Linked DNA regions of Pelodiscus sinensis. The protein of the gene in region 2 purifies or fractionates together with the protein of the main gene of each other region. This does not show direct contact. Links are inferred from orthologs where the notes say so. Each region holds a gene or a part of one and is shown on either strand. Other genes may lie near its edges.

Evidence for each region.
Region 1: the proteins of DNAJA2 (region 2) and LLGL1 purify together in Homo sapiens (co-immunoprecipitation; 3 studies listed by BioGRID and IntAct, with this or other methods). This does not show direct contact. The link is inferred for Pelodiscus sinensis from reciprocal best matches to the Homo sapiens genes DNAJA2 and LLGL1.

What each region holds. Positions count from the first base shown.
Region 1 is NC_134726.1:34,107,349-34,115,062, forward strand, and holds the start of LLGL1 (lethal(2) giant larvae protein homolog 1), read left to right. Parts: upstream 1-4,619; 5' UTR 4,620-4,634; coding exon 4,635-4,871; intron 4,872-6,265; coding exon 6,266-6,363; intron 6,364-7,714. UniProt on the Homo sapiens protein: Cortical cytoskeleton protein found in a complex involved in maintaining cell polarity and epithelial integrity. Involved in the regulation of mitotic spindle orientation, proliferation, differentiation and tissue organization of neuroepithelial cells.
Region 2 is NC_134722.1:27,730,815-27,738,223, forward strand, and holds the start of DNAJA2 (dnaJ homolog subfamily A member 2), read right to left. Parts: upstream 3,073-7,409; 5' UTR 2,940-3,072; coding exon 2,862-2,939; intron 1-2,861. UniProt on the Homo sapiens protein: Co-chaperone of Hsc70. Stimulates ATP hydrolysis and the folding of unfolded proteins mediated by HSPA1A/B (in vitro).

The DNA of each region.
Region 1 (7,714 bases), on a different chromosome or scaffold from region 2:
AATGTACAAGAGCCACAGGCGGCTCTTGTACATTTCAACAGCAGAGGGGCAGCAGTTTGAAACCCAGCGAGTGGGGACTGCTTTGGTCCAATTCCCTGCTGCACCTCTGCCTCCCTTGCCCCTCCCTCTGCGGAGTCGGTGCTGGGGGGAGCGGCTTTTAAGCCACTTCCTCCCCCCGCCCCCCGATGCCTCTGATAGAAGCAGCAAGGTGGGGGGAGTGACTAGTCGAGCCTACGCTTATTGGGTAGTCGACTCGTCACTTACATCCCTGATTTAACCCGTTAACTGGTGCAAGGGGATTTTGCAGCTCTCTCCTGAAGCTATCGTCCAGATGACTCCAGCAGCAATGGTGCTCCTCGAAAGGCCGGCTGACTGTGGGGAGCTACCTTCTGGGCCCTCTTCTCCCGTTTGCTGGGGACGGATGCAAAGGGTGGGTGTGGCGCGGAGATTGCAGCTCATCCCGGTGCACTCACTAGTGCCGAGACTGGCGCACGAGCGGCGGAAGAGGGGATGCCTTGAGGATTGCGTGATGGCCACTTGTAAGCAAGAGCCTTAGAGGGGACTGTGGCGGAACCGCACTTCGTGCCTCTTCCTCTCCTTCTGATTTTGGAGGTTCGGAGTGATTGTTGTGGCCAGTCACGGATCCCCGGTCGTCCTCTCAAAAGACTAGAAGCGGCTAGAAACGCAGAGTCTCGCTTTCAAAGACAGGTCGCTCCTGCCTGGGAGAAGGCACCGCCTCCCGCCCAAAGGGAGCGGGCTGGTGGCAGCGGCCCTGTGCCAAGACGCCAGCTCGTCGGCGGTTGGCTGGACAAGTCACCGCAGAGAGCAAGTCGAGAGTGGATCTAGCTGGCCGCGGGGAGACGGGCCTTTGTATGAAGCCAGGCAAGGCGAGCGGGGGAGGCTCGCTGCAGGCGTGCGGTGATGCGCCACTGACTATTGCTGTAGCATGTGGAGTCGTTCCCGTCGGACTCCCCTTGGATGTTGCGTTACGGGTGCGGTGCAGGCCGGATCTGCTTGAGCAGGGGTGGCCGGTGAACTTTGGCAAACAGCCTCCCGGCATGTAATGCCTTGTCCTGCTGCCGAGGGGTTTTCTGCCTATGTAAGAGGTTGGAATATTCAGCCCTCCTGCTAGTTCTGCCTAATACCTTCCAGCGCCCTAGGAAGACGCCCCAAGTATCGCAGTGGTGCTCAATCTTCTTTCATTCACCGGGAACATTTTTGTTGAAGGGGGGAGAAAAAAAAACCTGCTGGGAACATTATTGTGGCCCCTTTAATTTAAAGCGCTGGTCCGCTCCCCTGCCACTTCCGCGTACGTCAGACGCCGGGAGTCCATGTACGTCAGGCGCCGAGCCGGGAAAACAAATTGCTGGCCAGCCCAGATCCAAGTGCTGCCACTCCACCCAGGAAGACAGGTTGCTCACCGCTGAAGTATTGTACCCAAACAAACGCACGTGCCCATCCCAGGTCCTGTACAGGTGTAGTCAGAGCCCTGGGATCTAATCGAGCTGTCCTGATGTCTGAATTCCGTACCAGCTGGTTCCCTCCCCTGGCTGGAGAGTGGGAGGAGCCGTCTGCGTGGCTGCAGGTGAACTCGCCCAGCAGAGCCTATTCGGAAGGGATCGGGTGCCTTCAGGAAAATGGGGACGAGCCAATTGGTTCGTGTCAATGAGGAATTCCGCAGCTGGGAATGAGACAGCAGGCCCCACCCGCTGATTGCTTCCTGGTTGGCTAGTTAGCCCAGGACAGTGATTAAGCTGATATCGGAGTAATTAAACCAGGGTGAGACGTGCAGCAGCATGGCTGTTAAACAGCCGCGCGCCTGCAGTACTTCGCTCACGTAATTGGTCTGCGGAAACCCATCAAAACGGAGAACCCACACGGAAGGGAAGAGCGCTGAACAGCTGGTGCATGAAATAAAAATAAAGTGTTTGCTGCTGACGGCTGGTAATAAACCAAATCTTCAGCTCCCAGTGGGAAAACCAGGGGAGGCAGTTGGAGAGGCGGGAGCATACGATTTTGGGAGCCGGGGGAAACATAAACTAGCAGATGGCTAACGTCAGTGTATGTGTGGTAGGGGGTAAGCTGCTAATCCGCTGCGGCTTGTCACTCGGGGGACAAAAAGGAAGGACTAAATGCATCTGCAGTACATCCTGCTCTCGGCCGAAAGGCAAAAGTTGCGTCCTGACCTGGCAGGTTGATCTGGGAATACTCTGTGGAGTGATGTCTTAGCTGTCATAGCCAGATATAAATCCCCGAGTGTGTTGCAGTCTTTTGTGCCTCTCTTTGCAGGTAGGGAAATTAATAACCATTTTATAGAGGGCGTGTGGACTAAGTGACTTGCCCAAGGTTGCACAGGAAGTCTGTAGCAGAGCAAGGAATTGAATCAGGGTCTTCTGGCCAACCACTGTGCCATTCCCCTGAGGAGGAGTCAGAGAGGCAGCCTCTAGTTAAAAAGGGTATGTAATTCCCTCTATATTTCAGCTGGGAGGACCCCTGTGTAGACTCGTGAAATTCTATAGCCCTTGACGTAGGAGATTGGTGAATGTTGCCCTCCATTCACCCCTTGTGATTGTGCAGTGTCTTGTCAGGGACAATGAATTGCCTTGTTTGGGGGACTTGGGAAAGCTGGATTGAATTCCTACTGCTCATGCTGACCTTGGGCACGTCAGTTTCCTTTCTGTGGCGCTGTTCCCTGCCTCGACAGCGGGTGATGCTTCCTCTCTGAGGGAGTGCGTGCTGAGGACTGTGAATGCCCCTCGCTGCTTGTGAGTCGCTTGCGGGTGTCCTCTGCTGGCCATCCCAACCCATGGGTCTGAGTTTTCTGCTGGCAAAACAACCTAGTAGTTAAAGCAGAGAACCCTCCTAGTCCAGCCACTTATTTGCTTTGTGACCTTGGGCATGTCACTTAGCCTTCCTGGTGTACCCCACTTACAGAATGGAGACCTACAACCCAGAGGGGCGGGGTGCAAACGGGTGGCTGCCAAGCACGGAGACCCTTGGATGGAAGGTGCCGAGGCAGCTCGGGTCTAGCTCCAAGGAGCCTGAATTCCAGACCGTAGCTTCACACTCAGTGACCCTTCTGGCTTGCTGAGGTCACAGCTCCTGTCCCCTCCTTCCTCCCGTGGGCTGCAGCACAGCGCGGGGCTGAGGGCCGTGCATGGTACTGACTCCGTCCTGCCGGAGGACCACCACTGGCGCTCCAGTTCAGTGCTCTCTGGTCGCTGTCTTGCGGGGCGGGATGGAAGATACATGCATCACCCGTGCATGGCTGCTGTGCCCTGCCGCTCTCCCCTTGATACGGTGGCCGACACCAGGGCAGATCCCAGCCCCGGTCCCAGGAGAAATGTGGCAGTATCGTGTCCAGGGCCTCCTCCAGTGTGAGGTGATGAGGTGTCGCTTGGTCCGAGATCTAAAGCCCCTGCTGGCATACAGACCCGGTGCCCAAACCTGCCCTTCGTCGGGCAAGGGCATTGACTTCATCCATAGCCTTTCCGCTGAGCTTCTGTGCAGGGCTGCGTAAGAATCCCGATCCCCTGCGTGGGGGGGTGAGTCTCTCACTGCTGCACTGGGCCCAGCAGCCGCCAGCAAATCGGGACTTGCTGAGTCTGGTCTGCGGTGCTCTGTGACCGTGCCCTTGTGGGGCTGGGATTTCCGGGGCCCTGTTTAGTTGCGCAGGAGTTGGCGTCAGTGCAGTGCCTTCGGAACAAGGGGGGCTGCTGGCTGGTTGTTCCCGAGCCGTCCTTTGACTGGCTTTGGGTAAACTCCCACCTGCCTCCCAAGCTGCCTCGTTATTTACAACTTGAATTGTCCTTGGATTCTAAGTCTACAAACCAACCTGCTTTTGCGCTTCCTGAGCATCCTTTAGTCTCGTCCTCCTCGAACTCCCCGCTCCGTCCTGTTGGAGAAAGTACTAGTTGTGCTGAAAGGGCCGCTTGGAACATCTGCCCCAGAGCCGCCACAAGGAGGCTGGCAGTGAGGAGATGCTAAGTGGACACGTGGGTTCGGAGTCTGTGCGTAGGCTCTTCCCAACAGCACCTTCCAGGCCATATTGTGACACAACGGCTAGTATCTACACGACAGCCGATGTTGGTGAAATGTCACTCGTGGTGTGACTGTTGCACCTCCTGAGCCATGTAAGTTTCACTGACAGCGCAGTGCGCACGTGTGTGTGTGTGTGTGTGTGTGTGTGTGTGTGTGTGTTAGCCAGAGAGCTACTGCTGCTTGTGGAGATGGGTGAGGTCTGTGCATAGGGTGGGGGGTGTGTGTGTGTGTGAGAGAGAGAGAGAGCGCGCTGCTGCCGCTTGTGGAGATGGGTGAGCATTGTGCACAGGAGGGGTGTGTGTGTGTGACACACACACACACACACACACACACACACACTTGCTGCCGCTTGTGGAGGTGACTGTGTTGTGCCAGCCAGCTCTCTCCCATCGGCACGGAGCATCTTCATCAGACACGCTGCAGCGGCCCAGCATTGTGCACATAGACTGGCCCTAGTCCTGGAGACAGTGGCACAGCCCTGGGGAGAGCCTTCTGCGGGAAGTGCCCCGTGTTAGATGGCCCTGTTGGCGGGATGGGTCGTACCCCTGAGCATCTGCGGAGGGGATGAGCCTCATGCGCTTGGGGCAGGAGGAATGTACCGTCCTGTGCTCTGCGCCTGTAACGGGGGCTCTTGCCGATGCCACTTCCTGGATAACGCCGTTCTGAGCGCTGTCGGTGCCAAAACATCCTGTTTCTCCGTGTGGCAGATGAGTGAAGTTCGTCGAGTTGCTGAGGGGAGCCCCCCTCGGGCCTGCTGCTCCCAGCTCTGGTTGCTAGCGAATAGGATGCCCATGCCCCCCTGCTCGGCCGCGGGGGGCCCCGTTCTGAGGGTGAGGAACGTGTTCTCTGGGGGGCTGCCCGGAGCTACGCTGCTTGCCAAGGGGCCGTGAGGGAAGAGGGGAGTGTCCGCGGCGCGAGAGCCAAGCTTCCTTCTCCTTCCTGCGCTGAGCTCAGCTTGACCCCAGCCCTTGAGAGAGGGGGCGGGAACTGGCCACAAGGAGGCTTGCGGGTTGGTCCTGAAAAAATCCCCCAACCGCCTGGTCCTTGGATGGACGGAGGGCAGCTGGGACCGCTCGGGGGAGGCGGGGGGGAGGGAGCGACTCAGGCTGCTCTTCCAGCCAAGCCTGACGAGTCCGTTCCCCTCTTCCTCCCGTCCACTTCTCCGAACTCCTGGCCGCCTGGGAGGCCCCTGAGGTGGGAGCTGTGAGAGGAGAGGCCGCAGCTGCACCCGGCGGGCTGCGGGGGCGCTTAACTTTCCGGAGGGGAGGCTGTGGCCAGCAAGAGAAGGCCTCCGGCTGTCTCTGGAGCGCTGCTCCTGTAGCTGCTGCTCGGAGCCCTTGCTGCAAAGAGCAGGCGGAGGCCGGCGCGAAGGCGAGGCTGGCGCTGCCTCCTGGCTGTTGCGTGCAGCTGTTTGAAAGGCTTCGCAGACCCTGGGATGCTCAGGGATTGGCCACTCTCTTTCTCTGCGTCCAGCTCAGTCGCCGCAAGCTGTCTCGAGCCAGGGCTGCTAGATTAGGCGGCTGTTCACCGCGTGTGGGGTGATTGGACCTGTTGTCCTGACTCTCTCCCTGTCGTGCTGCCATCTGGGGCAGGGCCCAGCTTCCTACGCTCTGAACCCTCCGGGTCAATGTTCCCCTTAAGTTTTTTCCACCCATGTGTGGAATAAATTTTATGTGCACTGATGAATCCCTCCTGGGCGGCTGCTTTTGGGGAACGCTGCTCTCGGCCCTGATCCTGGGCTGAGCTCTGCAGGGCTTGTCAGAGCACAAGTCGCTCTGAGGAGCAGGGAAGACGTGGTCTGACTGTTTTCGGTCCATGCCAGGGCTCAAGCTTGCCCAAGGGCTAGGCTGGGGTGTGTGGGTCTTGCCTAGCCCACCTGGGCAATGGGTTAACAGGGCAGGGCTGCCTGTAGCTGCCCTGTCCCGTGAAAATCACTTTCAGGGAGGTGCTCGGGGATTCGGCCTCCAAGAGCGTGAGTCCTTCTCCTCCCGGCTCCTCCCCAGCACTGCAGGGAGGGGTGGGCTGCACATGGCGAGATCTTGTGGGCCCGGTAAATAAGGATGCGACTGAAGTTGTGCACACACTGCCCAAGCCCACAGAGGCTGCACCGGCGGGAGGTTTTGAGTGGGGCCACGGGTGACCCTCTCTTGGGGCTCACAACGAGTCCGTCTCGCACCGCTGGACTCTGACGGGTGACGTCTCATTTCTCTCGTCTTCCTCCTAGACGGTAGAACATGGGTTCCCCAACCAGCCGAGCTCCCTGGCCTACGACCCCAAGCTGAGAATTATGGCAGTCGGCACCAAATCGGGAGCTGTGAAAGTGTATCCTTTCCTGGATGTGCTCTCTTGGGAGACTCCGGAGAAGGGCAGAAGGTAAGGTCACCTCGGGCCAGCTGCGGGGCGAACTTGCTGTTGCCCGTGGGTTGCTTTCCAGCTACCACCAGGCATGGTCTTAACATCCTCTGGCAAGGAGTTCCACAGGTTGACTGTGTGCTGCATGAAGAAAAACGCCCTTTTGTTTGTTTTAAACCTGCTACCTATTATTTTCATTTGGGGAGCCCTCGTCCCCTAGAGGCGTTCTCTATTGCCCTGGGAGGTGTTGGGACTGTCCTGCGCCAGGGCTGTATTTCTGTCCAGCTTGCTGCGGCTCCAGGATCTATCTGGCAGCTGATCTCAACTCATTAGCTCCCCTGTGGCTTTGAAAATTGGACCTGCGGCTGAGCGCCAGGTGTGTTGGATGGGGAAGTGGGGTTTCTCGGCCCGTGGAACAGCCTTGACCCTGGGGAGCTGGCTGGCTGCCCTGTCCAGATGAGTGTGCAAAGTCGGGCTCGCAGCGAGGAGCTTTTATTTTTCTTGCCTCTGCAAAATCTCTCTGCCTTGACTGCAGCCATGCTGAAAGCCTTGGCTACCCGTGTCCTCTCTGTGCCTGGGCTGAAGGCTGCGGAGCTGGGAGCTTTGGAGGGCTCCACGGAGCCCGGCTTGGTGGTGTCTTGACTCTCGTAACCCACTGCGAATGGGTGTTCCCCGCTGCGCCTGCCAGTTTGCTCCAGCGTGGCTCCTTGTGGGCAGGGGCTGTTTATGCAGCTCTAAAGCGAGGGCACAGTTCTGGTGCCAGGCGAGAGGGGATAGGGCCTGGGTAAGGAGCAGACGCGCTGGAGGCAGGTAGGAGGACAGCCAGAGGTGCAGCGACCTCCCCAGGTGTCTGCTTCGGAGGTAGCGGCAGGAGCACATGCCCGGAGTCTGGGATCTCCTCGCTCTGCCCCCGACCCTGTTCGTGGGTCCTCGCTTGTGCCCCCATGTGCTCCCCAGGGAGGCTGGTGTTTACCTGCTTCCTGGGGCGGTTCCCTGAGCGTGAGTCACCAGGCTCGGGGAGGAGAAGTGATGTCACCGCTCTGTGGTCCAGCCGTGGAGGTTGGGGAGGGCTGCGTGAGCCCCGGATCTGGTGGGCGGGCGGGAGGGCACGCCCTCGCCCTCTCCCTGCATGGGCGTTGCTGCGAATAGCTCTGGCCAAGATTCCAGCCTCAGCAATCAGCTGTCGGGCAAAGCTGTGACTCAGAGTTGATCCTCCCCTGAGCGCGGCTTTTCGGCTTCCAGCAGGGCGGGTGATGTTTCCTCAGTGCCTAGCAACTGGCTTGCTGATAAATAGCAGCTACGGCTGAGGGGGGGATACAGG
Region 2 (7,409 bases):
TTGTCTCAGTTTCATTAGAGTAGCTTGTAAGTATGTTACAAAAGAACGGCCATACTGGGCCAGACCAATGGTCCATCTAGCCCGGTAGCCTGACTGCTTATAGTGGTCAATACCAGATGCCCCAGAGGGAGGGACCACAACAGCTAAACCTTACATGATCCCTCTCCGTCATCCATTTCCAGACAAACAATAGGCTAGGGACACCTTTCCTACCCATCCTGGCTAATAGCCATTGATGGATTTAACCTCCATGAACTTACCTAGTTCTTTTTTGAACCCTGTTAAAGTCCTAGCCATCACTACATCCTCTGGCAAGGAGTTCCAGAGGTTGACTATGCCCTGAGTGGGAAAAAAAAACCTTCCTTTTGTTTGTTTAAACCTGTTCCCTATTAATTTCATGTGGTGACCCCCTACTTCTTATATTGTGGGAATAAGTAAATAACTTTTCCTTATTCACTTTTTCCATACCAGTCATGATTTTATAGACCTCGATCATACTCTCCCACCCTTAGTCTTCTCTTTTCTAAGCTGAAAAGCCCAAGTCTTTTTAACCTCTCTTCATATGGGACCTGTTCCAAACCCCTAATCATTTTTGTTAGCCATTTCTGAACCTTTTCCAATGCCAATATATCTTTTTTGAGATGAGGCAATCACATCTGTATGCAGTATTCAAGTGGTAGGCATACCCTGGGTTTATATAGAGGCAATATGATATCCTTTGTCTTATTCTCTATCCCTTTCTAAATGACTCCTAACATTGTTTGCTTTTTTTTGACTGCTGCTATACATTGAGTAGATGTTTTCAGAGAATTATCCACAATGACTCCAAGATATCTCTCTTGAGTAGTTGTAGCCAAATTAACCCCCATCAAATTTTTATGCATAGACAGGATAATTTTTTCTAATGTGCATTACTTCGCATTTATCAACATTAAAATTAATTTCCCATTTTGTTGTCCTATCACTTAGTCTGGTGACGTCTTTTTGAATCTTTTCACAGTCTGCTTTGGTCTTAAATATCTTGAGCAGTTTGGTATTATCTACAAATTTTGCCACCTCACTGTTTACCCCTTTCTCTTAAAACCCCCCCCCACAAAAACAAACAAAACAAAAAAACACCTTAAAAAGCAATGAATAGCCTTTAAGATGCTATTAGACTAACAAAACATAACTTACTAACAAGTGGATGATGCCCATGAAAGCTCATGATACCATCAACATGTTTTGTTAGTCTTTAAGGTGCTACTAGACTATTTTTTTTAAGTTTTTCTACTTACAGACTAACTTGACTACCCCTCTGAACCCTTTCTCTAGATCATTTATAAATACATTGAATAGGATTGGTCCCAGGACAGACCCTTGGGGACACCACTAGTTCTCTCTCTCCACACTGAAAACTTACCATTTATTCCTATCTTTTGTTTCCTGTCTTTTAACCAGTTATCAATCCATGAAAGGACCTTCCCTCATATCCCTTGACAACTTACTTTGCTTAAGAGCATTTAGTGAGGGATCTTGTCAAAGGCTTTCTGGAAATCTAAGTACACTATATCCACTGGATCCCCCTTGTTCACATGCTCGTTGACTCCCTCAAAGAACTCTAGCAGATTAGTAAGGCATGATTTTTCTTTACAGAAACCATGTTGACTTTTCCCCAACAAATTATGTTCAGCTACGTGTCTGATAATTTTATTCTGTATTATAGTTTCAACTAATTTGCTTGGTACTGACATTAGAATTACACGTTCTCAGTATTTAGACACCCAGTTAGGTCCAAATTAATTAACGAGAGATTACGTGCTTGGCACTGAGAGATAGCTGGCAACTTTACCATTAACTATTTAAGTATACTTTGGACTATGTACTTGTTTTGTTTTATAGGTATTAAACAATTGCGTTTCCAAGACCACCATTCATACAACAAACAAGATGCCCCAAACAAGGTTTCTTTCTGTAGACAGTATGATCATACTTGGCTGCCATCATTTCATAGCTTCCTTTTATCAACACGTATTGGACATATAGTTTCATAACAATTAATGCCCACCCCAAACAAATTTGGCTATCACGTGCAGATACCTAGTTCACTGCAGCAGCACCACCATTATTCCAAGGGATCACAGGCGGTGACCAGTAAATACCTAACCAAGGCTATGATGTACTTTTAAGTGCTAGGTGATGCAGTTGGGAAGTGGGTAAGGAGTGGCTGGCATACTAGAAGATTAATACAACCAATACACGTTTAGAGGTCAGTGATGGGTATAGGGTAATGAGGATCCCAAAACACTGGGCTCTAATGCTCAGCTTCCTTGTTTATTTTCCCTAGGTGCTTTCAGCTTGGGAAAGACCAGCTCCACAGGGACGGGCCGGGGAGACCCAAAGGGGGCCCATGCTGCTGCAGTCAGACAATGGCAGTGGCTGGAACGCCACTTTCAGCAGGTTTCAGGGCTGAAGCCTCCAATCGCGATGGGATCGGCCCCCAGGGCACCACGGAGAGCAGGCGACGCTCCCTCAGCGCACGGGGCACGCAGTGAGGAGACACGCGCAGGCGGCTCCGGGCAGGGAACCCGGTCGACCCCCTCACGTTAGGCGGAGACCCCCCCCCCCCAGCGCCCGGCCAGGATCCCCTCCCCCACCCGCGGCCCCGCTCCCTCCAGCGCCTCCCCGCGGCCTACTCGCCTTCCCCGGCGCCGGCCAGGCAGGCCCCAAGCGGCTTCGCGGCGCGGCCTCGCCTGGAAGCCGCTTGGGGCCTTCCGCTCGGCCTGACCCCCGCCAGCCCGGCCCGGGGCCTCCCCGCCTCATCGTGACCTCCCGGCTGCCCAAGCGGGGCCTGCCCGGCGCGGCGCCTCCCCGGCCGGTACCTTCTTCAGCTCGTTGTCGGAGGCCCCGGGCGGCACCCCCAGGATGTCGTAGAGCTTGGTGTCGGCCACGTTCGCCATGGCGCAGGGACGGGGCGGGCTGGCGGCGCGCGCGGGACAGGCCGAGGGGGCAGCGGGGCCGGCAGCGAGGACGAGACCGGGACCAGAATGAGAGAGGCCGCCGCGGCGTCACCCACGCACGCGCGACGTCACCGCGCCGCCCGACGCCACCATTCGCCTTCTGCGGCAGAGCCCCGCCCCTGCGTGTCCTTCGGGCGCACGCCCCCCGAGCGGGGAGGGGCGCCGGCCGCCCGAGGCCACGCCCCCTCCCCGCGTTGGCCCTGGGCCCGGCTCGCGGAGCAAAGTTGGGGGAGGGCGGTGCTCTGCCTCGCTGCTGCACTTCCCTCCCTTGCTTTGCACAGAACAGGTCGGGCCAAAGGTCCACCTAGCCCAGTAGCCTGCCTGTCAGCAGTGGCCAATGCCAGGTGCCCCAGAGGGAGTGAACAGAACAGCAAAATACAGGACTATGTAGCACTTTAAAGACTAACAAGATGGTTTATTAGATGATGAGCTTTCGTGGGCCAGACCCACTTCCTCAGATCAAATAGTGGAAGAAAATAGTCACAACCATATATACCAAAGGATACAATAAAAAAAATGAACAAATATGAAAAGGACAAATCACATTGCAGAACAGAAGGGGGATGCAGGGGGGTGGGGGTGGGAAGGGGGAGGAAGGAAGGTAAGTGTCTGTGAATTGCTGATATTAAAGGTAGGGAGAGTGGGATGTTTGTGAGTTAATGGTATTACAGGTGATAATTGGGGAAACTGTCTTGGTAATGGGTGAGAAAGTTCAAAGACTTGTTAAGTCCTTGTTGGCAAGTGTCGAATTTTAACATGAATGACAGTTCAGAGGATTCCCTTTCAAGTGCAGATGTAAAAGGTCTTTGTAGCAGAATGCGGGTGGCTAAGTCATTTAGAGAGTGTCCTTTCTGGTTAAAGTGGCAAGAAACTGTTTTCTCTTTGTGATCTTGTCTGATATCTGTTTTGTGGGCATTAATCCTTTGGCGAAGTGTCTGAGATGTTTGTCCAATGTACATAGCAGACGGACACTTTCGGCACATGAACAGAACAGGTAATGGTCAAGCGATCCCTCTCCTGCCATCCCTTTCCAGCCTCTGACAAACACAGGTTAGGGGGGCACCACTCCGGCCCACCCTGGCTAATAGCCATTAGTGAACCTAACTTCCATGAATTTATCTAGCTCTTTTTTTTAACCCTCTTAAAGTCCTGGTCTTCACAACATCCTCAGGCAAGGAGTTCCACAGGTTGACTGTACACTCTGTGAAGAGAAACTTCCTTTTTTTTTTTTGTTTTAAACCTGCTGCCTATTAATTTCATTTGGTGACCTTTAGTTCTTATGGGAACCAGTAAATAACTTTTCCTTATTCACTTTGTCCATATCTGTCATGATTTTGTAAACCCATAGTCTCCTTTTTTCTCTACTGAAAAGCCCCAGTCTTTTTAATCTCTCTGTATATGGCATCCATTCCAAGCCCCTAAAATTTTTTTGCCCTTTTCTGAACCTGTTCCAATGCCAATATAGCTTGCTTTTTTTGAGATGAGACGATCACATTTGTATACAGTATTCAAGATGTGGGCACACCATGGATTTTTAAGGCAATAAGATATTTTCTGTCCCTTTTAAAGTTATTCCTAACATTCTCTTTGCTTTTTTGCCGGCTGCTGCACATCGAGTGGATGTTTTCCAGGCCTGTACGCAGGGTGTGTGCAAAAGGTGCAAAAGCACTCTCCTATGCTCCCCCAAGTAAGCATGATCCAGCTATTCATGGAAAGGGAGTGGCATGCTACCTGAGCCTCCTTCCCCCATGCTCTGGCTGGCTGGGGGAAGGCTGGGGCTGATTTCCCTGCTTACTTGGGAAACCATGGGAGGGGGGTGTATTTAAACTCTTGCAGTCCACATTTACAAAAAAATCACCCCCACACAAATTCCTGTGTACAGGCCTGTTTTCAGAGAACTATCCACAGTGACTCTAAGATCTCTCTCTTGAGTGGTAATAGTGATAGAAATGTAGCCGTGTTAGTCTGATTTAGCTGAAACAAAAAACAGGACTATGTAGCACTTTAAAGACTAACAAGATGAGGTGATGAGCTTTCTTGGGCCAGACCCACTTCCTCAGATCAAATAGTGGAAGAAAATTGTCACAACCATATATACCAAAGGATACAATTAAAAAAATGAACACATCTGAACATATTTCCTTTTCATATGTGTTCATTTTTTAATTGTGTCCTTTGATATATATGGTTGTGACAATTTTCTTCCACTATTTGATCTGAGGAAGTGGGTCTGGCCCACGAAAGCTCATCACCTAATAAACCATCTTGTTAGTCTTTAAAGTGCTACATAGTCCTGTTTTTTGTTTGAGTGGTAATAGCTAAATTAGTCCCCATCATTTTGTATGTATAGTTGGGATTATTTTTTTCCAATGTGCATTACTTTGCATTTAACAACATTAAAATTCATTTGCCATTTTTTTCCCCTAGGGACTGTTTTAGTTGAAAATGCATTTCTCAAGCTTTTCCCTTTCTATACAACATTACCCATATTCACCCAGCCCCGTTTGCTTCCTTCCACAGCTTCAGAAGCTTTATTTGAGTTTCCCCTGAGATTTGTTTTGATTTACCTCTGCCCCACATAGGCTGGGTGTCCTCTCACAATAAATAACCAGCCTGAAAATTGCTGAGTCATGGAGCAGAGGTTCTAGGAAACTCTCTGTAATGTTAAAAAACGAAACTAATATCACTTCTGCTTTTTTTAAAAAAAATCTTCATTATAGTTAGGTTGTGTTCGTGCAGTTTGTGTCTTGATCATGCATTTTAAAGGAAGGGGTCACTTGTTAGGCTTTTAGTAAGTTGAACGCTATACAGTAGTTACTGTGTTATGTGTGAATAAGTGGTAAACAATGCCTGCTATTCTCGGGACTTTTCTGAGTTAACTAGCTTATTCTGGCACATGAAACACAATTTAGAATGGGGTTTAATCATGATATTTGAAACCAGATCTGAGCTTTTCCAGAGTAAAGAGGGTTTGGATAGGATGTTGATACACATGCATTTTACAAAGATAGGTCAGTCTCTCCTGCATTGTGGTCCAAATTTCTCCAAAATACAAGAAGCGTATGCATCACTACATACATATTATAAATAATTATATTGGATTATTATTATTTGGACCAGTGGATTTAATTTTTTTGGCTCTAAGATGTACTTACTGCTTTAGAAACATCTTGCTAATATTTTGGTAATTACAATAACACATTTGTTTTGGCACCTTGTGGAAACATTAGGCATTATGTGAGGCTGCACTGGCCCATAGGGGCACAGAGTAATCTCCTGTGTGGTTCTTGGCCCAAGCCAGCCAGATCTTTATATATATATATATATATATATATATATATATATATATATATATATATATATATATATATATAAAGGTTTAGGAGGAGATCCTGGTTGTATTTAATAATAAGAGACTTCTCTCTTTAAATCTTGCATAAAGAGCAGCCTCTCACCCTTCTGCCCAGGTGAACCCCTTTAACTATTAACAAATATAGTATCATAAGCTTTTGTGGGCAAAATCCACTTCCTCAGATGAGATGAGAGGAAATCTCTAAGGTGCCTTAGGACTACTCATTGTTTTTAAAGTTACAGACTAACACAGCTACCTGTCTGAGCTCTTTGCCTACATGTGCCTCATTAAAGTGCTCTAGAATGCAGTATACATAGTTTCAGGATAGGGAGGCAATTGTCTTCATGCATTTATGCAGAAAGAATAAATCTTCCCCACTCTGTTGCTGTCCAAGTACTTCTGAGCCTTGTGAAGAATGATCTACCTGCTATAGGTGAGTCATGGTAGCACTCAGAAGATGCACTGCCCTCCTATGCCGACATTTTAATTGCTAAATGGGATGCACCTCTGCCCAGCCCTTCCTGTACCCCTTCCTGTTGCAGGCACCAGTCACCCCTGCCATTAGCCCTTCTCTTGCTCAAGATTTGGGGGAAGAGAGTTGGTTAAAACTTGGAGTTCAACCAGTGTGAAACCTGAGGTGAAAATGTTCCCACTGATACTGCCTGTACTGCCTGGAAAGATCACACAGTGACAGATACTTGAAAGTGAGGCTGATGGTAGCTTTGGTGAGGGGGACAAAAAGTAAAGAGAGGCCTGTTAATGCACATTTGAAAGAGACATGCTTCTGCCTAAAGGTATTTCCCTTCTCCACCTGTATGTCAGCCCACCATTCTGCAGACTATGCATTTTCTTTCCTGAGAGACCCTTGTTGCCTCAATCCAGTGCCGCATTATGCTATGTATAACCAAAAATGTTAAACTACCACATAACCCACCAGAAAATACATAAAGTAAGAAAATAATGTTGAAAGATGAAAGTGTTCTGAGCCTGCTTTGAAATAGAGTAAAGAATCAACAGCCAGGATGAGTTAGGTTTTACCAAACCGAGATAATATAAGC